7 linked regions of the Macaca fascicularis genome follow. The protein of the gene in region 4 purifies or fractionates together with the protein of the main gene of each other region. This does not show direct contact. Links are inferred from orthologs where the notes say so. Each region holds a gene or a part of one and is shown on either strand. Other genes may lie near its edges. The genes, in order: SIRT1, SNAI1, EHMT2, DNMT1, PARP1, EZH2 and MTA2.

Region 1 (3,762 bases), on a different chromosome or scaffold from region 4:
TTAAAGTTTCCCATTTTTCTTTAAAGAAAAAAATCTGAATTTGCAGCCAACAAAAATTAGATATCCTAAGGTTGTGTTACTTCTGACTTTTATTAAAATATCAACATTTATTAGAGATATTTATGGGCTGACTTTGTCTTTTTCTTCAAGGGGCCAAGTTCACTAATTGCTGAGTTTTATACATGACAGCAACAGTCCTTTTGTAGGTGTGTGTTGCATCCATCTAGATACTTTAAAATGCTCATCTATTTCATTTTTAAAATTATATGTGGGGGATTATCGGTAGTTTTTTGTTAAACATATGACATCTGTAGTTTATTTCACTAATGTAAATTTTTTCTACCTTTTACTTGATATAGGAAATATATCCTGGACAATTCCAACCATCTCTCTGTCACAAATTCATAGCCTTGTCAGATAAGGAAGGAAAACTACTTCGCAACTATACCCAGAACATAGACACGCTGGAACAGGTTGCGGGAATCCAGAGGATAATTCAGTGTCATGGTTAGTAAACTTCAGAATGGTTTTCTGTAATTTATTTTAGTTTTATAGGAGGATTTTTCCTCTAAAGCAGACTGCCATTGAGAAGTGGAGATAAAGCATTATTTAATCATGTTATCTCGTTAATTATAGATAACCTCCGAAAAGTAGAAAAGTAGAAAACAAAAATAATAAAAACAGTTAATTATATAAAACCTCAAATATTAATTTGCTTTTGATTTCAAAAGATGCTGCAGTTGCATGCATTCAATTATTTTAAATAATCTTTTCTGGCTGGGTGTGGTGACTCACGCCTGTAATCCTAGCACTTTGGGAAGCTGAAGCGGGCGGATCACATGAGGCCAGGAGTTCGAGAACAGCCTGGCCAACATGGTGAAACCCTGGCTCTACTAAAAATACAAAAATTAGCCGGGCATGGTGGCGTACCTGTTATCCCAGCCACTTAGGAGGCTGAGGCATGAGAATCACTTGAACTTGGGAGTTGGAGGTTGCAGTGAGCCAAGATTGCACCATTGCGCTCCAGCCTGGGAGACAGAGAGTGAGACTCTGTCCAAAAAAAAAAAAAAAAACTGATTACAAGAGTAATGTTAGCTATTAATGAAGAAATGTGACATCTTTAGTTTATGAAACTAAAAGAACTGGATAGTTGAGATGTACAGAATTCAGAGATTCAGAAATGTTTAATGTAAAACAAGTATGAACACGCCATTAGGTATCTAAAGTGTTTCTAAGAACTGCTGAACTAAGGTAATAGAATTGGAACTGTTCAACTCTGCAGGATTTTAGCTCTGCAGGAGCGAGTTATTACAGTTTTGTTCAAAAGAGTAGCTTTAGAAGGCATCATTATTGTCTCAGCGATTGAGAATTGTGTTCATTCTATGTATAAATAAATATATAAATTATTCATCCCCTAGATTCTCCTGTAGTGTATCACAAAATCTGCAGTGTGTTCTGAGGTTTAAAATCAAAGTTAAAAATCTTTAAACCCTGTTAACATTTCTGATGTCAAACTTTATAACATTCGTGGTGTGTTCAAGAAACAGAAATACTTCATTAATAAAGCACATATATGTTGGTTGTTTTTAGGTTCCTTTGCAACAGCATCTTGCCTGATTTGTAAATACAAAGTTGACTGTGAAGCTGTACGAGGAGATATTTTTAATCAGGTAATTTGTTTCCCGTATTTTAGGAATTGTGCATGTCTCTGAAGTATTTCTTCTTTTGCCTCAAAATCCTTTTTTTACCCTTAAAGGTATACGTGATACAGAAATATTCAGGAAGAAAATAGTAATTGGGAATTTTGGTAAAATATACAAGAACCTTTCAATACCTTATATAGAAAACAGCCCTATAAAGTCTGTTAAAATTATGAAATTGGCTTCTTAGTATCTAAGCCGAACCTAAAACATCAGATCATAAGCAAGTTGTTGTTGTTGTAGTTTTTCTCCTTCCTCTTTTTGTGCCTGTCAGATTTGAACCTTAAATTAGTTGTGGTAATCTTTTAAAATTATTTCATACATGTTCATTGCCAAAAAATATAGGAAAATGTAGCAGAAAATAAAAATTATCCAGAAATATGTCCTGTGTGCTTAGCAATATATAGAGTTAATTATATTATTATGAAAGAGGAAGAATAGTATATTAAAATGGAATCATTGTTCGGGTGCAGTGGCTCATGCTTGTAATCCCAGCACTTTGGGAGGCTGAGGTGGGTGGATCATTTGAGGTCAGAAGTTCAAGACCAGCCTGGCCAACATGGCAAAACCCCGTCTCTCCTAAAAATACGAAAATTAGCCTGGCATGGTGGCATATGCCTTTAATCTCAGCTACTTGGGAGGCTGAGGCAGGAGAATCATTTGAACTCAGGAGGTGGAGGTTGTAGTGAGTTGAGATCATGCCACTGCACTCCAGCCTGGGCAACAGAATGAGACTCCATCTCAAATAAATAAAATGGAGTCATTTTGTTTTACAAATGTGTATTTTTCTTTTAAAGGATCAATTCCCATTTTGTGTATATACACACATTGTGTTTTTCCTCTTATATGATGGACTCTTCAATGTCAAGTGTTTTTCTATATAGATATTATAACAAGAGCATAGTATTTCACTGTTTCATAGTATGTTAATAAACTACCCATCATTGACGTTTAGATTGTTACCCAGTTGCTGTTTATCTATAGCTTTTCTGTTTTTTTTTTTTTTTTTTTTAATAATTCTGAAATGTATTCTTAGAGGTATGGAAATGTTGACTATTTCTAACTTGAGCTTACTGTTTGCTTCTCTGTCTCAACCAAAATCTGAAAATTCGTAGGTAGTTCCTCGATGTCCTAGGTGCCCAGCTGATGAACCGCTTGCTATCATGAAACCAGAGATTGTGTTTTTTGGTGAAAATTTACCAGAACAGTTTCATAGAGCCATGAAGTATGACAAAGATGAAGTTGACCTCCTCATTGTTATTGGGTCTTCCCTCAAAGTAAGACCGGTAGCACTAATTCCAAGTAAGTTGGTGATGGCTTTTGGAGATCATTTCTATATATAATGTCATGGGTTGTGGATCTGTATAATAGACCCTAACTCTAGTAATCTTACTCTGCTTCTGTTTGAAAGAGTGGTGAAGAGCTAATTTTCGAAATTGTTTGTTTATTTATTGAGATGGAGTTTCCCTCTTATTGCCCAGGCTGGAGTGCGGTGGCGTGATCTCAGCTCACTGCAACCTCCGCCTCCTGGGTTCAAGCGATCCTCCTGCCTCAGCCTCCTGAGTAGCTGGGATTACAGTTGTCCACCAACATGCCTGGCTAACTTTTTATATTTTTAGTAGAGACCGGGTTTCGCCATGTTGGCCAGGCTGGTCTCGAACTCCTGAGCTCAGGTGATCCACCCGTCTTGGCATCCCAAAGTGCTGGGATTACAGGCATGAGCCACCATGCCCGGCCAGAAATTGTTTATTTATAGTAGAGATGAGGTCCTGTTGTGTTGCCCAGGCTGGATTTGAACTCCTGGGCTCAAGGATCCTCCTGCCTCAGCCCCTTGAGTAGCTAGGATTACAGGCACAAGCCTCCACATCTGGCTCAACTATTTTTTATGTGGCATTGTTGTTCATTGAGACTGGTGAATCTGACATTTTGATGGGGTGTGGAGGGTTGTCAAAACACAAGTAACGTTAGTGACTCATGCCTGTAATCTCAGCACTTTGGGAGGCCGAGGTGTGTGGATCCCTTGAGGGCAGCAGTTTGAGACCAGCCTGGCCAACATGGTGAA
Region 2 (4,299 bases), on a different chromosome or scaffold from region 4:
TTTTCTAGTCTTCCTTCACAGGTGGAAACAAGAACGGTGAGACCTGTGAGGTTTATTTCAGCGCTACTCCCGGGCCTGGTATGCCTCCCAGGGAAGCTGGGGTGGGGGTGCAGCTGCCCCTCACCTGGGCCCACCCCACATGCATTCAGTCAGGGCCCCTACAGAGCAACGTTAGAGCCTTTAGACACAGGATCGAGGATCTTCACAGGGGTGAGGAGACACGCCCGGCCCATCCCTTCTTTCTCCCGCCGGCCTACAAGGATCTTTTTCTACGAAACTCTAACCAGGTCCCTCGTCAGCTGAAAATCCTTCGGTGGCTCCCCAGTGCCTTTGAGGCAAAGTCCAACCTCCTACGAGGCCCTGGGGCACAGCACATCTGACCCCTCCGGGCCTGCCCACCCCACGCCATCCCTGAGAGCTGCTCTCTAGGAGTTACTCTGAAGCAGTTGCCACTTCTTCCCTCGGGCCTTTTCCCTTGATAATTCTTCACTTCCTCTGGGAAGTCACCCCGACCCCCTGTCAGGTGACCCGCCTCTTAACGGTCGCTGCGTCCCGTCTCTCCCCCGCCAAAGCACACTTCCCTTTGCATTGTAATTGTCTGTTTACTTCGTCTGTCTCCCCCACTGGACCGGGAGCTACCCTTCGGGAGAGGCCTTGAATGTCCTGTCCGGGGCTGTGCCCTGCCCCAGGTACAGCTGGGCCCTCCGCAAACACTGGCTAAGGGAAGGAACGGGCGCTCTTCGCTAGCTGGGCCAGGCTGCTTTGCAAAACGGCCGTAGCATTTCACGCCGCCAGGAGCCACGTGCGGTGTCCGTTTCCTCGCTTCCTCCCCAGCAATGTGCATTTCCCTCGTCAATGCCACGCTCTCCAGGCGCCAGCCGGGCGGAGGAAATTTCCGCCCCCTCCTAAGCCCGAGGCGGGGGCGGGCGTCGGAAGGTCAGGTGTCCCGGCCCGCGCGCAGCGCCAGGGGGCGTCAGAAGCGCTCCGACCACGGGGCGCTGAGCAGGTGGGCGCGCGGCGTTCTGGCGGGGTCCCACCTCGCAGGGGCCTCGCTTCGCTCGACGTCCCGCCCCGGACAGTCCGAGCACCACGGACGACCCGCGCTGCGCCTGCGAACTCCGCCTCGGAGGAGCCCCCGCCCGGGCTCCCAGCGCCACGCGGCGCGAGCCCGGCCAGCCCCCGGCGCACCTGCTCGGGGAGTGGCCTTCGGCGGAGACGGGCCTCCGATTGGCGCGGAGGTGACAAAGGGGCGTGGCAGATGAGGCCCCTCCCCTCCCACCCCCTTGGAGTATTTAAGGGAGTTGGCGGCGCGGCTGCTCTCATTGCGCCGCGGTCCGGCCTTGTGAGTGGTACGTTTGCGCTGCTCCTGCGCGACTCGGCGACCCCAGTGCCTCGGCCACCATGCCGCGCTCTTTCCTCGTCAGAAAGCCCTCCGACCCCAATCGGAAGCCTAACTACAGCGAGCTGCAGGACTCTAATCCAGGTGTGTTGGAGGGGTGGTGGGCTCCAGGAGGTTTGGGGGAGACAGGCGAAGGCTGCGTGGGGGCCACCTGAGGGAGGCGGCCTGTCTGAGCCAGGATCGAGTCACAGGGTGTTTTGTGGAGCATTGCGGGCTCGGGCTCGGGCTCGGGAGACCGGGCAGGTGGGTCCCCAGTCCTGGGGATCGGTCTGGGTGGTTGGGGGAGTGCTGTGTAGAGAGCAGGGGTTTTGTGCTTGGGTGGCCTGTGTAGCCGGCGAGAGGCGGAGGAGCTCCGCGAGAGTGGGAGAGGAGGCCTGTGTCAGGAAGGCCCTCTGGACGCTGCTGGGGAGAGTCCGGAGTCCAGAGGGTTGAGGGGAGGGGTGGGGAGACGAGATGTGTGTGAGGAGGGGGATTGGGGCAGGGTGGTGGCTCCAGGGCTGGGGTGATGGGGTTCTGGCCTCAGGCTGGGGACTTGGGACTTAGGAGAGGGAGATCTGGAAATGACCCCCTTCAACTGGGGGTCCTACCTGTGAGAGACTCAGATTGGGTGACCTGGGCCAGGAGGGCAGGAACCTGGTCTGTCCTGTGGATCATTTTTTTGATCTAATTATGTGTTGAGAATCAGCCCTACCCAGCCCCTGGCCAGCGGTGGGTTCATGTTTGTTGATTGAGTGAATGATTTAATTAACGCCTGACTCTGCTTTTTCTCTCTCAGAGTTTACCTTCCAGCAGCCCTACGACCAGGCCCACCTGCTGGCAGCCATCCCACCTCCAGAGATCCTCAATCCCACCGCCTCGCTGCCAATGCTCATCTGGGACTCTGTCCTGGCGCCCCAAGCCCAGCCAATTGCCTGGGCCTCCCTTCGGCCCCAGGAGAGTCCCAGGGCGGCAGAGCTGACCTCCCTGTCGGACGAGGACAGTGGGAAAGGCTCCCAGCCTCCCAGCCCACCCTCACCGGCTACTTCGTCCTTCTCCTCTACTTCAGCCTCTTCCTTGGAGGCTGAGGCCTATGCTGCCTTCCCAGGCTTGGGCCAAGTGCCCAAGCAGCTGGCCCAGCTCTCTGAGGCCAAGGATCTCCAGTCTCGAAAGGCCTTCAACTGCAAATACTGCAACAAGGAATACCTCAGCCTGGGTGCCCTCAAGATGCACATCCGAAGCCACACGCTGCCCTGCGTCTGCGGAACCTGCGGGAAGGCCTTCTCCAGGCCCTGGCTGCTACAAGGCCATGTCCGGACCCACACTGGTAAGTGCCCCTCCAGGCGCCCCCACCGTTGCTTTCTGTGGCAGCTTTGTGAATTGGGACTTGCTGTTCTCATTCGCAAAGTTGTGGACACTGAGGCCCCGAGTCTCCTAACTTCTAGCTCAAGTTCAGGGGCCTGCTCTCTGGAAATGTTTGGCAGAAACGTTCCTTCATCAGCTAAGCAGATGAGCAAAGCAGACACCTTCCCAATCCCTGCAGCCTGTTTCTCAGCCAAATGGGCTGGAGCTGGATATCGGAAAAGTGCAACCAACACCTTGCTCTGGGGGCCACAGGTGTGAAGGGGCCCACCCAGCCCCACCCTCTCCCGGTCCGCCCCCTCCCTAGCCAGACAGGATGTTGTCAGACCCCCCACCTGGCTCTGAATCCTTTGAGAACTTTCTCAAAGCTTAGGCTGATGTTTCACTTCTGTGAGCCTCATTTTCTCTATCTTTCAGATGGGCATGAGAACAGCTTGTGGGGTTTCTGTACGGGCTAAATGCAGGAATGCATATGGGAATCACCTGGCAAAGTGCCGGGTACCTGCTAAACTGTCACAAAAATGGTTCCTTGGCATTTGCTCTGCTTCCCTGCTGTGTGACTTTGGGCAAGCAACTTAACCTCTCTGAGACTCGGGAGAATTATGATGGCATATGTTTTAGAGAGTGGCTGTAGGCCGGGCGCAGTGGCTCAAGCCTGTAATCCCAGCACTTTGGGAGGCCGAGACGGGCGGATCACAAGGTCAGGAGATCGAGACCAGCCTGGCTAACATGGTGAAACCCCGTCTCTACTAAAAAAAATACAAAAAACTAGCCGGGTGAGGTGGCAGGCGCCTGTAGTCCCAGCTACTCGGGAGGCTGAGGCAGGAGAATGGCGTAGACCCGGGAGGCGGAGCTGAGATGCGGCCACTGCACTCCAGCCTGGGCGACAGAGCGAGACTCCGTCTCAAAAAAAAAAAAAAAAAAAGAGAGTGGCTGTAAAGGTGGCTAATCACTTTATAGTAATTTATTATACCCGAATAGTTCTCAGGTCGGCTTCCCCACCCCCACTCAATCCTAGCACACACACCAGAAAACAGCAATTTTAGGGCAGAAAACACAATCACGTCTTTCGAAAATTTACTAAATATGTAGAAAACTTTCTGGACATGGAGAAAAGGTAGAACTTTTTAGAACTTGAACGGTGGCAGCCACTGTGCCTGGAGCTGCTCTTTGGAGAGGGACAGTTGAGGGAGAAGATTCCACAGGGTTCAAGCTGGCCAGGTTCTACCATTCCTGGCCCGGCGCCTGACCTCTGAGCAGTGAGGGTCAGTGAGGTATCTGGGAGGACTGGCATTTCGCGGGCTTTATTGGCATCTTATTCGACTAAGGCTACCCATTTCTTTTCCTTCCTGCACCAGTAGCCCTGATTTTAACATGTAAAGGTCCAACTGCTGGGCTCCCCGTGCCTGCCCAGCTCACAGGGCTCTATTTTGGGAGATTTGAACCCCTCAGGATGCTGCTCTCCTGCCTGCCTCTCTCGCCTCCCATCCGGACATTATTTTAATGTAAAGGCATGGCTGAGGCACAGAAATCCCCTTGAAATGTATCATTTCGGTCCTCAT
Region 3 (3,762 bases), on a different chromosome or scaffold from region 4:
CCCATGGCAGACGGGGCCCCGGCAACCTGACCATGTCGTTTCCCTGCTCCCAGGGCACCTTCCTGGAATGCCACCCTGACTTCCGTGTGGCCCACCGCTTCCACAAGGCCTGTGTGTCTCAGCTGAATGGGATGGTCTTCTGTCCCCACTGTGGGGAGGATGCTTCTGAAGCTCAAGAAGTGACCATCCCCCGGGGTGATGGGGTGACCCCACCGGCTGGTGCTGCAGCTCCTGCACCCCCACCCCTGTCCCAGGATGCCCCCGGGAGAGCAGACACTTCTCAGCCCAGGTACTGGCCTCCCCCTTCTCTACTGTCTGTTCCCTGCCCCATCACTATTGTTCCTGGACATGAGCTCCTTCTTCCACAGCGCCCGGATGCGAGGGCATGGGGAGCCCCGGCGCCCACCCTGCGATCCCCTGGCTGACACCATCGACAGCTCAGGGCCCTCCCTGACCCTGCCCAATGGGGGCTGCCTTTCAGCCGTGGGGCTGCCACTGGGGCCAGGCCGGGAGGCCTTGGAAAAGGCCCTGGTCATCCAGGAGTCAGAGAGGTGAGTGGGGAGTTGTTCAGGCACAGTAACTGGGGCTGAGGCCAGAGGAGCAGTGTCAAGACTGATGCTGGAATCTGAGGAGCTCCCCTTCTCTCCCCACTCCCGTGCTCCCTTGGCAGGCGGAAGAAGCTCCGTTTCCACCCTCGGCAGTTGTACCTGTCCGTGAAGCAGGGCGAGCTGCAGAAGGTGATCCTGATGCTGTGTGAGTGCCACCTATTCCTTCAGCAGACCTTGACCAAGTTCCATGTATATACCAGGCACTGGGCACAGGGCCAGGAGTAGTCATGAAGGATATAGTCCTTGCCCTGAAGGACTTAGTGTGGTGGGGAAAAGACACACATAACCCGTGACGATGGGAACGGTGGTGACTCATAGGTGCTGGGTCCTGTTCTGAGTGCTTATACTTGTTAGCCTTGGCTTGCACAGGGAGGTTAGGGACGTTGCACAGTGCACAGCGGTACTGAGAAGCAAGGCAGGGTTTGAATTCAGGCAGAGCTGATGCCTTTGACTCCTTATTCTGATAAATGCCGTGGTGGAGGCAAGCCCAGAGAATGCCAGGAGGGGCCCTGACCCAACTTGGGGCTCTGAGAAGCCTTCCTGAAAGAAGTGCCACCTGCCCCCTAGCTTGCTTACCACTTGTCCCTCCCTCTCCCGGTGTGGCGGGCTCTCCCCGCAGTGGACAACCTGGACCCCAACTTCCAGAGCGACCAGCAGAGCAAGCGCACGCCCCTGCATGCAGCCGCCCAGAAGGGCTCCGTGGAGATCTGCCATGTGCTGCTGCAGGTCAGCACGGGCCCGGCCCCATGCCTCATTCACCAGGCCCTTAGGCCCCTCCCCTGCCCCATGCCTCCCTGGTGCCAGCCCTCCTGCCCCCTCACAGGCTGGAGCCAACATAAACGCAGTGGACAAACAGCAGCGGACGCCACTGATGGAGGCCGTGGTGAACAACCACCTGGAGGTGGCCCGTTACATGGTGCAGCGTGGTGGCTGTGTCTATAGCAAGGTGTGCATGCAGGCAGCAGGGCGTGGCCCCGGAGTCAGGGACCAGGTTTGGGGTGCCAGCCGGAGACTCATTTGCCCATGTCTCCCTCAGGAGGAGGACGGCTCCACCTGCCTCCACCACGCAGCCAAAATCGGGAACTTGGAGATGGTCAGTCTGCTGCTGAGCACAGGACAGGTGGACGTCAACGCCCAGGTCAGTGGCCCACCCAGCGCAGCTCCTCCGGCTCCCTGGTGCCTGGGTTCCTTGGCTCGGCCTCAGACTTTGGGCCCCCTTTCTACATCTGACCTCTGGCCCTTTCACTCTGCCTCAGGCCGCTTGTGTCTGTCCCCCTTGCTTTCTTCCTCATTTGTATTTCTCTTCATTCTTTTCTTTTTCTTGTTTCTTTCTCTTGATCAAGCTTCAGAATAATCAGTTCCTGCCTTCATCTCTGAAAGTGTCCAGTGAGGCTTTTTTAACTCTCAGGTTGTCATACATTGGATGTGTTTTCGTCATTTATTGGGATTCTTCTCAGTCTTTGAATTATTCCATCATTATCTAGGAGAAGCCCCTTCAAGAGGCCTCTGTGGCCGTGACATGACCCAGTGGCCTTTGAGAGCGTCCTGACCTTTCAGCACATTTCCTGCCCCTGACTCAGCATCCACCATTTCTCTAAGAAACTCTGCTTCCTTTATGGGAAACTTTTTTTTTCTTTTCTTTTTTTTTTTTTTTGAGATGGAGTCTTGCTCTGTTGCCCAGGCTGGAGTGCAATTGCGTGATCTTGGCTCACTGCAACCTCCACCTCCTGGGTTCAAGTGATTCTCTTGCCTCAGCCTCCTGAGTAGCTGGGATTATAGGCACCAGCCACCGTGCCCAGCTAATTTTTGTATTTTTAGTAGAGATGGATTTTCACCATATTGGCCAGGCTGATCTTGAACTCCTGACCTCATGATCCACCCACCTCGGCCTCCCAGCGTGCTGGGATTACAGGCGTGATCTGGCCACTGCGCCGGCCAGAAACATGTTTTAGAGAATAGTCTATGGACCTCGGAGTGTTTATTATTACTGGGTGGTCACTGCTTCTAGGACTTGTGAATGGGCAGACTGAGGAAATTTTTGTTTGTTTTTTGTTTTAAGAGACAGAGTCTTGCTGTGTCACCCAGGCTGAAGTACAGTAGCAATTCACAGACAGTCATAGTTCACTGCATTCTCGAAATCCTGGGCTCAAGCGACACTCCCATCTCAGTCACATGAGTAGCTGGGACTACAGGCACGCGCCTCCATGACCAGCTCCTGGCTGTATTTTTTGGAAAGAGAACAATTACTCACTTTACTTTCTCTCCGGCATCAGGCAGTAGGCACTACTAGTCCCATTTTTTAGATGAAGAAACTATGACCCAGAGACGTTAAGTGACTTACCCCGGGTCCCACAGCTCGTGAATGGTGGAGCTGGGATTCACACACACAGCCAATCTTGACCATTTGCAGCTTTGGTGAGCAGGCCCAGCCGCCCCCACCCTCACTCCCTTCCCACCCACAGGACAGTGGGGGGTGGACGCCCATCATCTGGGCTGCAGAGCACAAGCACATCGAGGTGATCCGCATGCTACTGACGCGGGGCGCCGACGTCACCCTCACTGACAACGTGAGTGAGAGTTTGGTTGAGGTAGGGCAGCCCCAGGCCCCTGAGCAAGGTGGAGGCTGGATTCAAGGGCCCAGCTGCCTGCACCTCATCTGTTCCCCTCCTATCTCCACAGGAGGAGAACATCTGCCTGCACTGGGCCTCCTTCACGGGCAGCGCCGCCATCGCCGAAGTCCTTCTGAATGCGCGCTGCGACCTCCATGCTGTCAACTACCATGGGGACACCCCCCTGCACATCGCAGCCCGGGAGAGCTACCATGACTGCGTGCTGTGAGCCCCTGCCCCGCCCTTGATGCCCCTGCCCCCACTTCTTGCAGCCTCAGACCCCACATTGGGCACCTTGTCCCCTCTTCAGGTTATTCCTGTCACGTGGGGCCAACCCTGAGCTGCGGAACAAGGAGGGGGACACAGCATGGGACCTGACTCCCGAGCGCTCCGACGTGTGGTTTGCGCTTCAGCTCAACCGCAAGCTCCGACTCGGGGTGGGAAATCGGGCCATCCGCACGGAGAAGATCATCTGCCGGTGAGCCCTGGGCCCCTCTCTGCACCCAAGGCCACCTCCCCACCCACCCTCCCCAGGCTCCGTTGCA
Region 4 (4,491 bases):
TGGCAGGCAGAGGTTGCAGTGAGCCAAGATCTCACCACTGCACTCCAGCCGGCGTGACAGAGTGAGACAAGGTCTTACCCCGTCGCCCAGGCAGGAGTCCAGCGGCCCAATCATAGCTCACTGCAGCCTATACTGCCAGGGCTCAAGCCATCCTCCCACCTCAGCCTCCTGAGTAGGTAGGATTACAGGTGTATGTCACCATGCCCAGCGAATCTTTGTATTTTTTGTAGAGATGGGGTATCCCTATGTTGCTCAGGCTGGTCTTGCACTCCTAACCTCAAGCGATCCTCCCACCTGGGCCTCTCAAAGCACTGGGATTACAGGCATGAGCCACTGCGCCTGGCATAGTGCTTCTTAATTTATTTTTACTTTTTATTTTTATTTTTTTGAGACACGGTCTTGCTCTGTCTCCCAGGCTGGAATGCAGTGGCGCAATCATGGCTCACTATAACCTCTGCCTCACTGGTTCAAGCGATCTTCCTGCCTCAACCTCTAGAGTAGTTATACTACAGGCACACGCCACTACGCCTAGCTAATTTTTGTTTTCCTTTTTTTCTTTTAAGAGATGTGGTTTCTCTTAAACCAGGAGGCGATCCTCCTGCCCTGGCCTTCCAAAGTACTGGGATGACAGGCATAAGCCACGTGGTGCTTAAAAAGGGGAACAAAAAACCCCACACACACTGGGTATAGAAGTGGCACGGGTCTCTATACACTGTGAGATTCTTGGTACTAGCTACAAATTCTGTGCATACTCAAGATTTTCTAGAGTAGGTGCAATTACCCCGTTTTACAGACGAGGACACAGAGGCTGAGTCCTAGTGACCCATCCAAGGTCGTACAGCCAGCAAATAGATGGAGGTTGAATTGGAACTGAGGACTTTACTCAAGGGCTCTCACAAGCCCTTGGGGACTTCTTGCTGCTTTATCCCCATCACACCTGAAAGAATGAATGAATGAATGCCTCGGGCACGGTGCCCACCTCCCAGCAAACCGTGGAGCTTGGACGAGCCCACTGCTCCGCGCGGGGGTGCGTGACCGCCTCGCGCATGCGTGGTCCCTGGGCATGGCCTGCTCCGTTCCATCCTTCTGCACAGGGTATCGCCTCTTTCCTTTTGGTACATCCGCTCCCCCCTCCCCGCGCCCGGACTGGGGTGGTAGACGCCGCCTCCGCTCATCGCCCCTCCCCATCGGTTTCCGCGCGAAAAGCCGGGGCGCCTGCGCTGCCGCCGTCGCGTCTGCTGCAGCCTCCGAGATGCCGGCGCGTACCGCCCCAGCCCGGGTGCCCACACTGGCCGTCCCGGCCATCTCACTGCCCGACGATGTCCGCAGGCGGTAGGTACCGTGGGGGGAACGTGGACTCGGGGGGCCAGGCAGGGCGCTGGGTGGGGGGTCGCTTCCCCTCGGGGTGGCCAGTGGCCGCTGCTGACAGACGGGCGCGCATGCGTGGGGTGGTGCGGCGCGCAGCGGCAGTTGGCGCGGGCAGGGTGGCACTTCCGGTCGCGCGTGCCCGGGCTGTTTGGCGCCAAAATGGGCTGTGGATTCCCCCGTAGCTCCCTGGTGGCTAGAAACTGGGCGGGGTGGGGGTTCTCTTTTGATCCCCAAATACAGCAAGCTTTGGGTTCGTCTCCGGGGTCCCCTTCTCCAAGCAGCGGTGGGCCGGGCTCCTGCCTCCAGCTTGGTAGCACAGGAAGTGGGCAGCCCGCGGCCAACGGACACCCCTCGGGCACCGGCACTTCGGCCTCCACTTCCGGTGTCCGGCCCGGTCCCCGGTGGTGCTTCTCTGGTGGGGGGTCCCTCAGTGCCTTTCCCCCAAAGCTGTGCATCCCGATGGCGGCCTCCAGAGACGGACGTCACCGGTCGGGGCCCGGGCTGGGCTGGCTCATGTTTGAGAGCCCAGCCTTCCGTAGGGGGAACTCATTCTGTCACTTGGGACTGTGTGTTCCTTGCTCCTTGGGAAAGTCTGTGTTTTGGCAGGAACTTGAACCGTGCAATGCCGCGCAGGGCCCGGGAAGCGTGAAGGCTCCATGGTTGGTCTTTTCCTGTAAATCTGTGCCTGTGAGCCGTGGGCATCAGGGAAGTCTTGCTATTGAGAACTGGCTACACTTTCGTGTGTGTTTGCGTGTGTTCGTGGGTGTGTTCTTTAGTGTGTGTGTCTAATGTTGGAGGCCCTGGCTTTAGCAATTCATGCCTCTGTCCGACTTCCGTGCACAGGATCAGTGGGAGCAGTGGTCCCAGCCCCTTGTCCATGAACGCCATCTATTCATTCCTAACAACTTGTTCAAGGGAGGTGTGCATGAGGCATAGGAACCCTCACCAGGCCTGGACACTTCCAGCTGAATCTGTGAAAGCACTCTGCCATTTTTCTATTTCCTTGGGCTTGTTAACTGGCCTGGTTGGGCCTTTGGGGAGGGATGGATATTTGGTTCGACCCCCTACTTTTTTTTTGAAGGCTGGGTGCTGTGGCTTACGCCTGTAATCCCAGCAATTTGGGAGGCAGTGGCGGATGAATCTCTTGAACCAGGGGTTTGAGACCAGCCTGGGCAACATGGCAAAACCCCATCTCTACTAAAAATACAAAAATTAGCCAGGAGTAGTGCCATGTACCTGGAGTCCCAGCTACTCAAGAGACTAAGGTGGGAGTATCACTTGAGCCCCAGAGATTGAGGCTGTATATAGTGAGCCGAGATCGTGGTACTGCACTCCAGCCTGGGTGACAGAGTGAGACCCTGTCTCAAAACAAACAAACAAACAAAAACAACAACAACAACAATTTTATTTTTAGAGATGAGTCTCACTCTGTTGTCCAGGCTGGAGTGCCCTGGCACAATTATAACACACTGTAGCCTTGAACTGCTGGGCTCAAGGGATCCTCAGCCTCCTGAGTAGCTGGGACCATAGGCGACCACCACCATGCCCAACTGACTTTTAGTTTTTTCTGTATACATGAGGTTTCACCATATTGCCCAGGTTGGTCTTAAACCCCTGCCCTTAAGCAGTCCTCCTGCCTCTGTGTCCCAAAGGTTAGGGTTACAGGTATGAGCCACCATGCCTTAACTACAACTTTTTTATTTTGAGATGGAGTCTTGCTCTGTCACCCAGGCTGGAATGCAGTGGCGTGATCTCAGCTCATTGCAACCTCCACTTCCGGGGTTCAAGTGATTCTCCTGCCTCAGCCTCCTGAGTAGCTGGGATTACAGGTGCCCACCACCATGCCTGGCTAATTTTTGTGTTTTCAGTAGAGTTGGGGTTTCTCCATGTTGGCCAGGCTGGTCTCGAACTCCTGACCTCAAGTGATCCACCCGCCTCAGCCTCCCAAAGTGCTGGGATTATAGTCAAACCACTTCTTAACCAGTTAGTGGGTATATACCTTCTTGAATCATCTGTACCAGTATCCTCCCAAGATAAAACTTGATTTAAAATGGAATGGAAGTGAAGTTACAAAAGTACCTGGCTTCATGATGTTAGACCCAATTCAGAGAAGTTTGGGCCCGGCCTTCCTTTTTTATTCCTTTTTTTAATTTTGTAGAGACGGAGTCTTGCCATGTTGCTCAGGCTGGTCTTCAATTCCTGGCCTCAAGCGATCCTCCTGCCTCAGCTTCCCAAAGTGTTGGGATTACAGGTGTGAGCCACTGTACCTGGCCTGCCCAGCCTTCTTGAAAACATGGCCTCCACTGGCTCGATGATCTTAAACAAGCATATGCCACCTCTATATCCATAGTCTAGGAATAATGACATGTGTTTTCAGGTGGTATTGGGTTAAATGAGAATATGCATGGCACATAAAGGTTCATATGCTAGTGGCTAACTTAGCTTGTTTTTTAAGTTTTTTCTTTTAAGACACGGGATCTCACTGTGTCACCCAGGCTGGAATGCAGTGGCATAGTCATGGCTTACTGCAGCCTCAAACCCATGAGCTCAAGCAGTCCTCTTGCCTTAGCCTCCTGAGTAGCTGGCACATGCCACCATGCCCAGCTAATCCTTAAAAAAAATTTTTAGAAGGCCGGGCTCAGTGGCTCACGCCTGTAATCCCCGCACTTTGGGAGGTCAAGATGGGTGGATCACCTGAGGTCAGGAGTTTGAGACTAGCCTGGCCAACGTGGTGAATCCCCATCTCTACTAAAAAAAAAAATTAGCCAGGTATGGTGGTGGGCACCTGTAAACCCAGCTACTCAGGAGGCTGAGGCAGGATAATCGCTTGAACCCAGGAGGCTTGAACGGAGGAGGTGGAGGTTGCAGCGAGCCGAGATTGCGCCATTGCACTCCAGCCTGGGCAACAGGAGCAAAACTCTGTCTCAAAAAAAAAAAAAAATTTTTTTTTTTAGAGATGAGGGTCTTGCTTTGTTGCCCAGGCTGGTCTTGAACTCCTGGGCTCAAGCAGTCCTCTGCTTTGGCCTCCCAAAGGGCTGATATTACAGGCGTGAGCCACTGGGCCCGGCCATTATTCCTCAAGAGTTCTTAAAAGTGGATGCTGGAGGAGTTAACTGCCAGGAA
Region 5 (3,762 bases), on a different chromosome or scaffold from region 4:
CACAGCTATGATGTGCAATTAAAATTATCCCTGGCTCAGTGCACAAGCCTAACAAGCAGCTGTCAAATAGCTGACGTAATCTATGCTAAGTAAACCTGAGTATTATAGATGAGACTAGTTATGTTTTATTTTCATATTTATATTCAAAGTTCAGAAAACCTAGGAATGCTGGTCTACCTCACTGTCTTTTAATTAAAAGTCTTCAGAATTGTAAACAGAGAATAAGAATCCCTTCACAAAGAACCACCCCCACAGTTTTCCCATCAGGAAGGTGCTCTAGGGGCAAAATAAGTGACATGTGGCGTCTTACCTGCTTGGACTCACAGATCTACACTTTGTCCTAGGAAAGGAGCAAAGGCTCTTTCTTTAGTGATGTAAACACCTGGTACCAGACTCAACACACTAGCCCACCTGAACCCCTGCAACACTGCAGGGAATGGGCTGAGGACAATGGGGCACATGAGCGTGGAGATAGGCTCAAGGACAGGGCCATCTAGAAGCTGAGGCAAAAATCCCTCCTCTGTTGGTCTAAGCAGGGTGTTCAGAGACTGTGTGTGCCAACACAGGCCACTTTAGCTCCAGAGAAAAATGAACCCAAGCACTGTGTTTTTATTAGAGCTGCCATCAAGCATTTCCACTTCTGAAATGGACATCGGTAATAAGCCCTCTAAAAGTTCACACCACAAGGGTTTAGAAAAACAGAGTTCCTCTCTAGATTAAGGAGGGGGAAAAAAAAAAGAACTTTTGGTAAGACCCTCAAAAATCAATTTGTATGCCAAGCTGAGGTGCTGGCTTGGAAGGCTGCCTTGCAAGCAAGGTGCATTATCTACATGTGAAATGCCCAGAGGTTCTCAAAGGACCACCAGCAGCAATGTCCGGGAACTTGTTAGAAAAGTAAATTACTGGGCACCAGCCATCTGTGTTTTAACAAGCTTTCCAGGAGATCCTAACACACATGCAAGTATGGGACCGCTGCTCTCAGGATGAGGTTAAATGTTTGAGGAAGGCCTGACCCTGTTACCTTAATGTCAGTTTTGAGCTTCTCATAGTTGACATCGATGGGGTCCTTGCTGCTATCATCAGACCCTCCCCTGAGCAGACTGTAGGCCACCTCGATGTCTAGCAGGTTGTCAAGCATTTCCACCTTGGCCTGGAGGAGCAAAAGCAAGCCCCTGACTTAGGTATCATGGTGAGTGAGACAGACTCACCCAGGTGGCAGAGAAAACCTACATGCAGAGAACGTTCAACACAGTGAAGGGCAAACCTTCCTGCTGGTCAGGGCCAGCCTGTTACCTGCTGCACACAGTGAGCTCTCCTAAGGACTTCCTGGAATGCTAACAAGGCCTTGCGGCCTGGGGGAGTTGAGAGGTGGAAGAACTGTCTTTCCTCTCATACAAGCTGACATTTGGGACCTATAATGAAGGTACTTCAGACAAATGTTTCCTGAGCCAGGAGCTCTCTTAAAAGGCAGAGAGGGAAAATGGGGAGGAAGACGTTGTTATGAGGGAGAGGCTCTCCCTCTCCAACAGCTCTTTCCCCAGTGGATTTGGTGGAACAGAGGCAGGAAAAATGGCTCTGCCTCCATCAGTGTGGGTAGAAACCCAACTTCAAAACAAGGGCAAGGAGGTGGCCCTCCCAGCATCGGCGCTGCCCTCGGGGATCATGACGGGGAGGGACGGTTGCAAGGGAGTCACACCCTCGCCCAGCAGACCTGCAGTCCCTTCTGAACCCTTGTGTACCTGCACACTGTCTGCACTGTTCAGGAGCGGAGGCTTCTTCATCCCAAAGTCATGGGGGATCAGGGTGTAAAAGCGATTTGAGAGATCCAGGATCTGAGAGTCGCTGCTGCCCTGAGACACTGCCTGGAGACGAGGGGACAGAAGGAACACAAGACTGACGAAGCAGCTCCGAGCCCCCGGCCAGGCTTTCTCTTCTAGCAGGTGGGTGCTGCAGCAGGTCCAGAAGTAGCGTGGTATGTGCACATGCCAGGATGCATGGGAAACGACCAGAAGACCACCTTCCTGTTAAAGCTACACCACTGAGCAGCACAGGACCCCCATCCTCTAAAAGCACTGCTCAACACAATGGGCTTCTCCCATGAACTTTCATTTGTACAAAGAACTGTGCAGTTACAGACATCTGAAACCCCGCCACAACTATGCAAAATGTTAACTGTAAAATCTAGGTGGTGGGCTCATGACTACTGCTGTAAAATTTCTTCAACTTTTTGTATGTTTGAAACATTTTCATAATAAAATGTTGGGAGGAAGTTGCCCATTGCTATAAAATTCAGTCAGGCTCCTTGTCTCCACTGACCTTCATTGGCATTAGTTTTTACTGTACCCGGAGGTTGAAGTGGCCAGGCACAGAAAGGCTAAGCAACCCTTACACTTACTGCCAGTGTCACTTGGTGCTCTATATGTAAAGGGTGTGCAAAAAATGCACAGAGATGAAGAGTGGGGCCATTGGGATTCCAGGAATTTGGCAGACAGCCTAGGTGACCACAAGAAGGTCAAGGGGGTATCAAGTGGCACCCAGCAGGTCTGAAGCCCCACGCCTGCTTCTTGCTGTAACATGGACTTCACCAAGTCGTACAACTTCCATCTGTGCTGCCCAGGTGGCTCTGGAAATGGGTAAGGATGCTATTCCAGCTCTTCTACCTGAAGACTATGGCATGGGAAGAAGCAGGGGCTGAGGAAAGCCTTGCAAGTTCTCAGTCAGTGAGGAATAAGGAGAGACGTTCACTGCTCAGAGCCAGCTGTAACTGGAGTTGACAGATCCGGTTCAGGGCCTTTTCTCCAGCACCAGCCAGAAAGCCCGCTGCCTAGGCCCACTTCTGTTTCCCGTGTGCTTTCCTTCTTTCTATAGGCCAAGCCTGTATCCACCCACAAACATAAGCGGAACCCTCCAGCTTCTCCGGGATGTAGCTGGAAGGTTCCAGGACTGGGAGACCTTGAAAGATGCTTGAAGAATGTTGAAATAACATGAATGAAAGGTTTCCATCTGATGACTTCCTAGTAACTGCACAATAAACTCTGCCTAACTCTTAAGGACACATAAAATAAAAACCACAACGCAGGTGACCCTTGAACAATCGATTTGAAGTGTGCAGGTCCACTTATACACAGATGTTTTCAATAAATACAGTTAGCTCTCTACACCTGTGGGCTCTGCAGTTGAGAATTCAACCAAACTCAGATCAAAAATATATTATTCTCAGGCCAGGTGCGGTGGCTCATGCCTGTAATCCCAGCACTTTGGGAGGCTGAGGTGGGCGGATCACTTGAACCCAGGAGTTCGAGACCAGTCTGGCCAACATAGTGAAACCTCACCTCTACTAAAAACACAAAAAATTAGCTGGGCGTGGTGGCGCATGCTTGTAACCTCAGCTACTCGGCATGAGAATCGCTTGAACCTGGGGGCGGAGGTTGCAGTGAGCTGAGATTGTGCCACTGCACTCCAGCCTGGGGGACACAGCGAGACTCTGTCTCAAAAAAGAAAAAGAAAAGAAAAATTCCCCCTCCCACAAAAAAAATCTCAGGATGCGAGACCCACAGATGTGCAGGGCCAACTTTTCTCCTCCATGGGTTCTGCAGGGTGGACTGTAGGACTTGAGCATGAGTGAATTTTAGTGACCACAAGGGAGTCCTGGAACCAATCCTCGAGGATACAGAGGGATGCCTTTACTTTTAAGAGAGAGGGTAACCAACGTCTTCAAGTTTATAGGCAGTTTACTATGTATCTGACAACTGAAAAAGTTGC
Region 6 (4,370 bases), on a different chromosome or scaffold from region 4:
GAACAGGAGCTTTACCATAGAGTGTCCTGCTTAATCCACAACCTGGTTGATAAGGATGTAGAAACAACAGTGTCATTAGTTATTCACCTTCTAAATTGTTGAGTTACCGAAAAATCATAGGGCTAGCTTCAATTTGGAACCAACTCACCCCAATTTTTTTTTTTGAGATGGAGTTTCGCTCTTGTTGCCCAGGATGGAGTGCGATGGTGCGATCTTGGCCCCCTGCAACCTCCGCCTCCCAGGTTCAAGCGATTCTCCTGCCTCAGCCTCCCGAGTAGCTGGGATTACAGGCATGTGCCACCACGCTCAGCTGATTTTGTGTTTTTAGTAGAGATGGGGTTTCTCCATGTTGGTTAGGCTGGTCCTGAACTGCCGACCTCAGGTGATCTGCCTGCCTCAGCCTCCCAAAGTGCTGGGATTACAGGCGTGAGCCACTGCGGCCAACTTGTGTGTGTGTGTGTGTGTTTTTTTTTTTTTTTTTTTAAGCTCAGCGAGAAGACTTTGGTTCCTCACTTTCTCCAAGGATAATTACTTCAGGATGTGGAAATATTTCTGAGTTGGGGTCCTTAATATACAGTTATTCTTAGATTTATCAGTGTGCAGACTGAATGGGAAAGAGAACTTGGCTGTAGTGACCCTTTTTGTTTTCTTCCGAAGGTCCAGTATTCACTGTGTGTGCTTTTGCATGTGCTGTCAGACTTGATCACCTTTATCCAAAAGAATTTTCTCTTGTGTCTTTCTTTTTAGATTATTTCTCAAGATGAAGCTGACAGAAGAGGGAAAGTATATGATAAATACATGTGCAGCTTTCTGTTCAACTTGAACAATGGTATGTATCTGAGCTGGGAGGCAGTGAGTTCCTCTGAGTTGCATGTGGCAGCCTTCTGCCTGCCAAGTGTTCAGAAACGAGGGTGGAGGTCAGTGAGGTGACCAGAAGGAGGATCTCCTTAGAGGCATCGGGGGCTGCTTGCTTGAAAGGAACTGGAGCAAGGAATTCCTCAGGGAGCAGATGGACTAGGTGTGCAGGAAACCGCCTCTCTGAAGCCCTGGCCATCTGTGAGTGGCGCTGTACCAGTGTCTGGCTGTGACGGGGATGTTGTGCTCTTGCTGCCTCACCTCTTGTGTTCAGGCAGCTCAGCTCACCTCCTGCAGTCAGTGCCTCGGAGCTGGGAAGGAGGGGAGGAGCCAGACTCCCCTGGATATTCTCAAAGGACTGGGAGGAAAGGCAGTTGCTTTCATAGCTGATGTTCTGGGGTAGAATGTAAGTCTGTAGGGATATTTCTGGTGGGATTGTTCTGGTGGGAGGTTGGCTTAACATGTAAGATATTCAGAGAAACTCTTAGTTGGAACAAGTAGAATAGATTTTTTCTAGGAATGCTTTATAGACATTATAAAAAAAACTAATGTTAAATGAATTGATGTTCAGAAGAATTTTGTCAGATTCTTTTTAATTTTTTTTTTATTTTGCTTAGTAATGTATGTTTATAGTTGATAATTAATAGCTTTTGTGTCAGATAACCATCTTGAATTATAGGTGATTAATTTTAACCTGGAACAATAGTGTGTTCTTCCAAATGTCATTTCTTACTGAATGAAGTTGCTTGAATGATTTATTTGCTTTTGCAGGCAAACCCTGAAGAACTATAACCGGTTGCATTTACAGAATCATAATAACTTGATTTACTTATAACTGAAATTATTCACTGGGCTCATTTTCCTCTTTTTAGATTTTGTGGTGGATGCAACCCGCAAGGGTAACAAAATTCGTTTTGCAAATCATTCGGTAAATCCAAACTGCTATGCAAAAGGTAGGTATCTTTGACGTCAGAATTGGAACTCCCTTTTTAATCCTGTGATGATGGACTTGAATACTTCTGGGATAGTTGTTTGTTATGTGAACAAGTCAGTTAACCTCCCGTGGCCTGTCTTCATGCTCACTGACACCAGTGTGTCTCTTTCCAGTTATGATGGTTAACGGCGATCACAGGATAGGTATTTTTGCCAAGAGAGCCATCCAGACTGGTGAAGAGCTGTTTTTTGATTACAGGTTGGTAAAGTACATTTCTAACATGATCTCTAAGGGCTTTTTCTACTGGATCGTGAACGCTGGGCGAAGGATTTTTTTAGTTCTTTGCTAGATGTGCTGAGGGGTGGGGGTGAGTTGTTTTGACGGGTCACTTTGCCTTGAGCATTAGTGGGGAATTAGGTTATACTTTCCTGTTATGTATTCACGATCCATTTATTTATTATAAAAGTCATGCTTATTTTAAAAATAGAATCAAATCCATGCAGAAAGCCCCGTTTCTCACCCTGCTGTTGACAGCTGGGTGAGTCCTAGACCTTCTCATATCATGCCGCATGCTGCATGCTTGCTTGTGGAGCGTTTTTCCAGATAAGTGTGATCACACTGTCCTATAGATTTTTCTGCAACATGGTTTTACTTGACAATATACTATGTATATCTTTACTGATTAGATCTACTTAATTTATTGTTTGCTATAATACTTATTACACGTATCATTACCATTTTAAAAGGTGCTGTTGGCAAATCACTGTCTGGTCACCCTGTGGGGATGCCTGGGACATGTGGGCCACCGATGGTATCTGTGTGGTTAGGCATTAGGCTGCCAGTTGACACAGTCAAGCTCTGTGGGATACATTTAAGTCATCCATTGAATACAGATTTAGGTGCAGTCAGATGACTGTCTAGTTAATGAACTCCTGTGGTCCCATGTACATCCCATCCAGAAGCTGTCTTTGAGTACTGAGTTCTTGAATATTCAGGCTGGCCTTTAATGGCTGTTGCATAGCCGAGAGCTCTCAGTGAGGCAGACAGGGTCTGAGTGAAAGGCCTACTTTACTGAGGGCCGCTGCCTTCATTCCAGGCCGGCTCTGAATGAAGAGTGTGGGGTGGAGCTGGGGTTGGAGGCAAAGCCATCCAGTTTCCTTGGGAGGGCCTGGTGGCCCCACCCACTATTTCTGGGTGTCCACTGTACTCCAGTTCTTTCTTCACCTGGGGGAACAACTGGCGGGCTGCTCTTTGGCCCTCTTTGCCATGGTCATCGTTTTTTTCCAGACCATGGTTTTATTTTGCCTTTCCACCGTCGGACCTAAACATCATGATGTGGACCAGCCTTCCTGGGGCCACTTGCTTCAGAGGCATAGGGGAGGCTGGGCAAGCTCTGGAAATGCTTGTAGACAGGTTTGTTCAGTTCAGAACTTGGCAGCGTCTCACTTAGATGGCCAGCAACACAGACCTACGCATTGCCTTCTACGAGTGTGCCCTTATGCAGGCAGCTGTATAATTGGATGGTTTTTTGTTTTGTTTTGTTTTGTTTTAAGACATTTTAATGCACCCACTGTCTTCAGCAGGCTTTGTTGTGTTAAGTAAGTCTCAGCACATGTTGGATGGGTGGTCATCCAGCGGACTTCTGCTTCTTCCTGTTGTTTCAGATACAGCCAGGCTGATGCCCTGAAGTATGTCGGCATCGAAAGAGAAATGGAAATCCCTTGACATCTGCTACCTCCTCCCCCTCCTCTCTGAAACAGCTGCCTTAGCTTCAGGAACCTCGAGTACTGTGGGCAATTTAGAAAAAGAAAATGCAGTTTGAAATTCTGAATTTGCAAAGTACTGTAAGAATAATTTATAGTAATGAGTTTAAAAATCAACTTTTTATTGCCTTCTCACCAGCTGCAAAGTGTTTTGTACCAGTGAATTTTTGCAATAATGCAGTATGGTACATTTTTCAACTTTGAATAAAGAATACTTGAACTTGTCCTTGTTGAGTCATCTCTCATAACATGTCAATAACTGCTTTTAGTACTGCCCAACAAAAAACTTTTAAATTTACCTCCTTGAGTTTTTTAGTTGTCTTTGTATGAATCTTGATTTTAACTAATACTGCCTGGTAATATGTGGAAGACATTCATATATGAAGAACTGCTGTGCATCCTGAGGGCTGACCCAGTAAAGGGCTTGATTTTATAGACAAGACCAGGGTGGGTGGGTACGTTCCAGTCAGCTGTGCAAACTGGAGAAAGTGATTTAACCTCCAAGTCTGTTCCCCATATATAAACTGACAGAGTAGACTTAGCTTATTTTTAAGAACTCACCTAGTTCTAAATGCCGTTAGTCTAGATAGAGTTCTTTAGAAATACAATATAAGTTGGGATTCCTTACCTACCTACTGACAGGTATAACCAAACTAGTTTTATATCTTCTCAAAGAAGAGGTAAAAATCACAAACTCTAAGCATCAAGGAAACAACATGTGCCTTGCATGCCTTACCATGTGGTCGGTCTCAGAATTTGGGGGAATTTCTCTGCACCCTCCCCCGGTACATTCACCAGCAGCATCATGGGAACCCTCA
Region 7 (3,487 bases), on a different chromosome or scaffold from region 4:
GGATGGGTGGAAGGCCTGCTGTGGCTCAAGAATCTGTGGGGCTCAGGTAGCATGCTTCTTCCCTGTCCCCCTCCTCTCCATGCTCTGCAGCCACACAGTCTGCTCAGTGGTATGCCTGGGGCCCACCTAACATGCAGTGCCGCCTCTGTGCTTCCTGTTGGATCTACTGGAAGAAATATGGGGGACTGAAGACCCCAACTCAGCTTGAGGGAGCCACTCGGGGTACCACGGTAAGGATCAGTGGGGGTAAAAGCAGGGGAGAGCAGTAAGCATATTGATGTGAGCTTAGGTGAGGGCCAGAATATCCAACTCTTTATATGGTGATGGTTTGATGGGCAGGGGGTGCTTGATGCTGGTTGGGGAGACATATAGGCCAAGAGGTCAGTAAAGAGATTAGGCAGGAATAAATTGTCTTCTGCAGGGAATGGAAGAAAGAAGGGAGCCTCAATGCTGATTTCTGCTCTCTCTCTTTCCTATGCTCTTCTTCTAGGAGCCACACTCGAGGGGTCATTTGTCCAGACCTGAAGCTCAAAGTCTCTCCCCTTATACAACCAGCGCCAACCGGGCCAAGCTACTGGCTAAGAACAGGCAAACTTTCCTGCTTCAGACCACGAAACTGACCCGTCTTGCCAGACGCATGTGCAGGGACCTATTACAGCCGAGGAGGGCTGCCCGACGGCCGTATGCTCCTATCAATGCCAATGCCATCAAAGCAGAGTGTAAGGACAGGGAGTGATGGGGCTGGTGGTGGGTTTAGGGTTGCTCTGCCCAGAGACGATTGTTTCTCTGGATGTTTAATAACAGGAGGCATAGTAGGCCACAGGTAATTTTTTAAAGATTAGACTTGGCTTCTGGCCTCAGAGGAGACCTGAATGGTGAAGCCCTTCAGAAGCTTTCATCTTTGTTCTGCAGGCTCCATTCGACTTCCTAAGGCCGCCAAGACTCCATTGAAGATTCACCCTCTGGTGCGGCTGCCCCTGGCAACTATCGTCAAAGATCTGGGTATGGGATGAGGACCAGTGAGGGTGGCATCAGGCTCCCAGTCCGTTCCCTGTCCAACATCTTCTCTCCCCTTGTTTTCTTCTTCCCCATAGTGTCCTCAGAGATTTAGTCTAACAAACTGTACTTTTGTTGTTTAATAATTTTTTTTGTAAACTATTCAGTGTTACTGTACTGATTTGATAAGGTCATACTGATATTTGAAATACTAGTGATAGCTTGCCAGAACCTTACCCCATTGCTACTTTTGGGGATGCCCAGGTAAACTGCTGGTCCAGGGGAAGAGATGGAAGTAACAAAGGGGAACTGTGTAGGGAAGAAAAGGTGTGAAAGTTTTCTATTACTTTTTTTCCAGTGGCCCAGGCACCCCTGAAACCAAAAACACCTCGGGGTACCAAGACACCGATCAACAGAAACCAGCTGTCCCAGAACCGGGGACTGGGGGGCATTATGGTGAAACGGGCCTATGAGACTGTGAGTTGACAGAAAGGGGTGGGCCAAGCTGAGTTGGGTGGGCTTTTGTTTCTCATAGGAGTCTGAGAGGGTCCCTTCCCTCATTGTGCCATCCTGCCTCTTTTCCAGATGGCAGGGGCAGGGGTTCCTTTCTCTGCCAATGGAAGGCCTCTGGCTTCAGGGATTCGTTCAAGCTCACAGCCAGCCGCCAAGCGTCAGAAACTAAACCCTGCTGATGCCCCCAATCCTGTGGTGTTTGTGGCCACAAAGGATACCAGGTAGGGAGTCTACCATGGGAGGGGCTGAGAGGGACAGTCCAGGCTGTGAGTGTGGGGAGTAGGAGTTTCAGAGCAAGAGCTCTAGGAAGGTTGTGGATGCAGGGTGGGGATGCCAGAAAAGAATGGGCCAGAAGGCAGAATTGCAGTGTGGAATGTGGGGCTTCACCTGGAGGGCTTAGTGTTCTCTAAGCCTTTTCTGTTTCTCACTTGCTCTTTCTGGCCAGGGCCCTACGGAAGGCTCTGACCCATCTGGAAATGCGGCGAGCTGCTCGCCGACCCAACTTGCCCCTGAAGGTGAAGCCAACGCTGATGGCAGTGCGGCCCCCTGTCCCTCTACCTGCACCCTCACATCCTGCCAGCACTAATGAGCCTATTGTCCTGGAGGATTGAGCACCTGTGGGGGAGGGAGGTGGGCTGAGAGGTAGAGGGTGGATGCCCAGGGCACCCAAACCTCCCTTCCCTTTCGTGTCAAAGGGAGTGAGGAGTAAGGAAGAGAGCAAGTGAGTGTGCGTCCCTGGAGGGGTTGGGCGCCCTCTGGTGTTACAACCTCGAGACTTGTCTCATGCCTCCATGCTTGCTGATGGAGGACAGACTGCAGGAACTTGGCCCATGTGGGAACCTAGCCTGTTTTGGGGGGTAGGACCCACAGATGTCTTGGACAGTTTTGGGGGGAGGGTTTTTTAATTTTTTAAAAATTTTGCCTCCCTTTGTGAAAGGGGATGGGGAGGGGAAGAGTAAACAGATAACAGGTGGTGGTACCTGGTTGGGGGAGGGGGGCGTGCACTGCCATGTCTTTTTTTTTTTTTTCCTAATTGGGGGTTTCTCTTTCTGTCCGGTGTCCGGACTATCCTAATTGGAGTTTGAGGCCCCTAAGCTGGCATCAACCCCAGGCCATGCTCGCTCTTTCCTTCCCTCCCCTCCCCCTCCGCCTTTTGTACGCCAGTTCTCAGAAATAAAGATCTTTTGTCCGTTTTTTTAACCTCGGATTCTGTAATTGGTTCTTATAGTAACAAATAAAAAGCTGTTTTCTTCAGCTTCTCCTGGCTCAGCTGTTCTTTGCCATGGGTGTGTGTTGTGTGTGTGTTGGGGGTGTCTTTGACAGGGAAAATAAAGGACAAAGGACAACAAAGGAGGTACAGATGGTTCTTGCCTTGGGAACAGCTTTATGAGATATGCAGCCTGGACCGAGGCGGCTTGCTCCAGCTAGCCTTCTTGTGGGATCCAAACTGCTCCCCAGCTCCCAGTGGTGATGGAGCCCAAGCACCATCTTGGCCCAGATTCCTTCAAAGGAGTTGAGATGAGCTTTCTGGATGACTGGTGGCCTCCATAGGAAAGGAGAATGGGGGTGTTTCTTCCTCTGTTTCCCACCTCTTACTCCCCTCTCCCTTTCACTTAAGGAATTCTGGAAGTTGCTGGCAGCCAGGGTAACATGTATACCACCTTGGTGGTGGTGATGGGGTTATAGGAGGATCTCCTCACCTAGCTGTGTGGTGTATTTGGCAGATGAGAATTCTACCATTGAACCACTCGAGCACCTCTGGGTGTATGTGTACAGCCTGCTGCTTCAGGATCCTCAAGGCCAGTCTCAGCAACTGCCTTGATACCCTGATCCACTGTAGCACCGTTTCCTGCCTGAAAGGTTTGGGACACTGAGATTAGATGCCTGAGCAGGGCCCATTAGAAGGAACACCTTAGGAGAGACAACAAGAAGTTCAGCCTACTATATGCTCCTTGGGCACTTCCTTTAGAGATGGGGA

Evidence for each region.
Region 1: the proteins of DNMT1 (region 4) and SIRT1 purify together in Homo sapiens (affinity purification with western blotting; 3 studies listed by BioGRID and IntAct, with this or other methods). This does not show direct contact. The link is inferred for Macaca fascicularis from reciprocal best matches to the Homo sapiens genes DNMT1 and SIRT1.
Region 2: the proteins of DNMT1 (region 4) and SNAI1 purify together in Homo sapiens (affinity purification with mass spectrometry; 3 studies listed by BioGRID, with this or other methods). This does not show direct contact. The link is inferred for Macaca fascicularis from reciprocal best matches to the Homo sapiens genes DNMT1 and SNAI1.
Region 3: the proteins of DNMT1 (region 4) and EHMT2 purify together in Homo sapiens (affinity purification with western blotting; 3 studies listed by BioGRID, with this or other methods). This does not show direct contact. The link is inferred for Macaca fascicularis from reciprocal best matches to the Homo sapiens genes DNMT1 and EHMT2.
Region 5: the proteins of DNMT1 (region 4) and PARP1 purify together in Homo sapiens (affinity purification with western blotting; 4 studies listed by BioGRID and IntAct, with this or other methods). This does not show direct contact. The link is inferred for Macaca fascicularis from reciprocal best matches to the Homo sapiens genes DNMT1 and PARP1.
Region 6: the proteins of DNMT1 (region 4) and EZH2 purify together in Homo sapiens (affinity purification with western blotting; 6 studies listed by BioGRID and IntAct, with this or other methods). This does not show direct contact. The link is inferred for Macaca fascicularis from reciprocal best matches to the Homo sapiens genes DNMT1 and EZH2.
Region 7: the proteins of DNMT1 (region 4) and MTA2 purify together in Homo sapiens (affinity purification with western blotting; 3 studies listed by BioGRID and IntAct, with this or other methods). This does not show direct contact. The link is inferred for Macaca fascicularis from reciprocal best matches to the Homo sapiens genes DNMT1 and MTA2.

The regions. Positions count from the first base shown.
Region 1 is NC_088383.1:78,656,529-78,660,290, reverse strand, and holds part of SIRT1 (NAD-dependent protein deacetylase sirtuin-1), read left to right. Parts: intron 1-359; coding exon 360-507; intron 508-1,590; coding exon 1,591-1,670; intron 1,671-2,815; coding exon 2,816-3,002; intron 3,003-3,762. UniProt on the Homo sapiens protein: NAD-dependent protein deacetylase that links transcriptional regulation directly to intracellular energetics and participates in the coordination of several separated cellular functions such as cell cycle, response to DNA damage, metabolism, apoptosis and autophagy.
Region 2 is NC_088384.1:106,067,453-106,071,751, forward strand, and holds the start of SNAI1 (zinc finger protein SNAI1), read left to right. Parts: upstream 1-1,321; 5' UTR 1,322-1,401; coding exon 1,402-1,483; intron 1,484-2,174; coding exon 2,175-2,702; intron 2,703-4,299. UniProt on the Homo sapiens protein: Involved in induction of the epithelial to mesenchymal transition (EMT), formation and maintenance of embryonic mesoderm, growth arrest, survival and cell migration.
Region 3 is NC_088378.1:139,822,830-139,826,591, forward strand, and holds part of EHMT2 (histone-lysine N-methyltransferase EHMT2), read left to right. Parts: intron 1-53; coding exon 54-289; intron 290-368; coding exon 369-551; intron 552-670; coding exon 671-753; intron 754-1,227; coding exon 1,228-1,334; intron 1,335-1,431; coding exon 1,432-1,554; intron 1,555-1,644; coding exon 1,645-1,746; intron 1,747-2,569; exon of another isoform or gene 2,570-2,827; intron 2,828-2,949; exon of another isoform or gene 2,950-3,070; coding exon 3,071-3,196; intron 3,197-3,287; coding exon 3,288-3,442; intron 3,443-3,527; coding exon 3,528-3,695; intron 3,696-3,762. UniProt on the Homo sapiens protein: Histone methyltransferase that specifically mono- and dimethylates 'Lys-9' of histone H3 (H3K9me1 and H3K9me2, respectively) in euchromatin.
Region 4 is NC_088393.1:10,739,933-10,744,423, reverse strand, and holds the start of DNMT1 (DNA (cytosine-5)-methyltransferase 1), read left to right. Parts: upstream 1-1,503; 5' UTR 1,504-1,527; coding exon 1,528-2,027; intron 2,028-4,491. UniProt on the Homo sapiens protein: Methylates CpG residues. Preferentially methylates hemimethylated DNA. Associates with DNA replication sites in S phase maintaining the methylation pattern in the newly synthesized strand, that is essential for epigenetic inheritance.
Region 5 is NC_088375.1:84,283,018-84,286,779, forward strand, and holds part of PARP1 (poly [ADP-ribose] polymerase 1), read right to left. Parts: intron 1,863-3,762; coding exon 1,740-1,862; intron 1,151-1,739; coding exon 1,022-1,150; intron 1-1,021. UniProt on the Homo sapiens protein: Poly-ADP-ribosyltransferase that mediates poly-ADP-ribosylation of proteins and plays a key role in DNA repair.
Region 6 is NC_088377.1:190,462,492-190,466,861, reverse strand, and holds the end of EZH2 (histone-lysine N-methyltransferase EZH2), read left to right. Parts: intron 1-747; coding exon 748-829; intron 830-1,727; coding exon 1,728-1,808; intron 1,809-1,962; coding exon 1,963-2,047; intron 2,048-3,453; coding exon 3,454-3,514; 3' UTR 3,515-3,778; downstream 3,779-4,370. UniProt on the Homo sapiens protein: Polycomb group (PcG) protein. Catalytic subunit of the PRC2/EED-EZH2 complex, which methylates 'Lys-9' (H3K9me) and 'Lys-27' (H3K27me) of histone H3, leading to transcriptional repression of the affected target gene.
Region 7 is NC_088388.1:11,464,528-11,468,014, forward strand, and holds the end of MTA2 (metastasis-associated protein MTA2), read left to right. Parts: intron 1-90; coding exon 91-230; intron 231-490; coding exon 491-719; intron 720-912; coding exon 913-1,002; intron 1,003-1,354; coding exon 1,355-1,473; intron 1,474-1,581; coding exon 1,582-1,730; intron 1,731-1,954; coding exon 1,955-2,120; 3' UTR 2,121-2,763; downstream 2,764-3,487. UniProt on the Homo sapiens protein: May function as a transcriptional coregulator. Acts as a component of the histone deacetylase NuRD complex which participates in the remodeling of chromatin.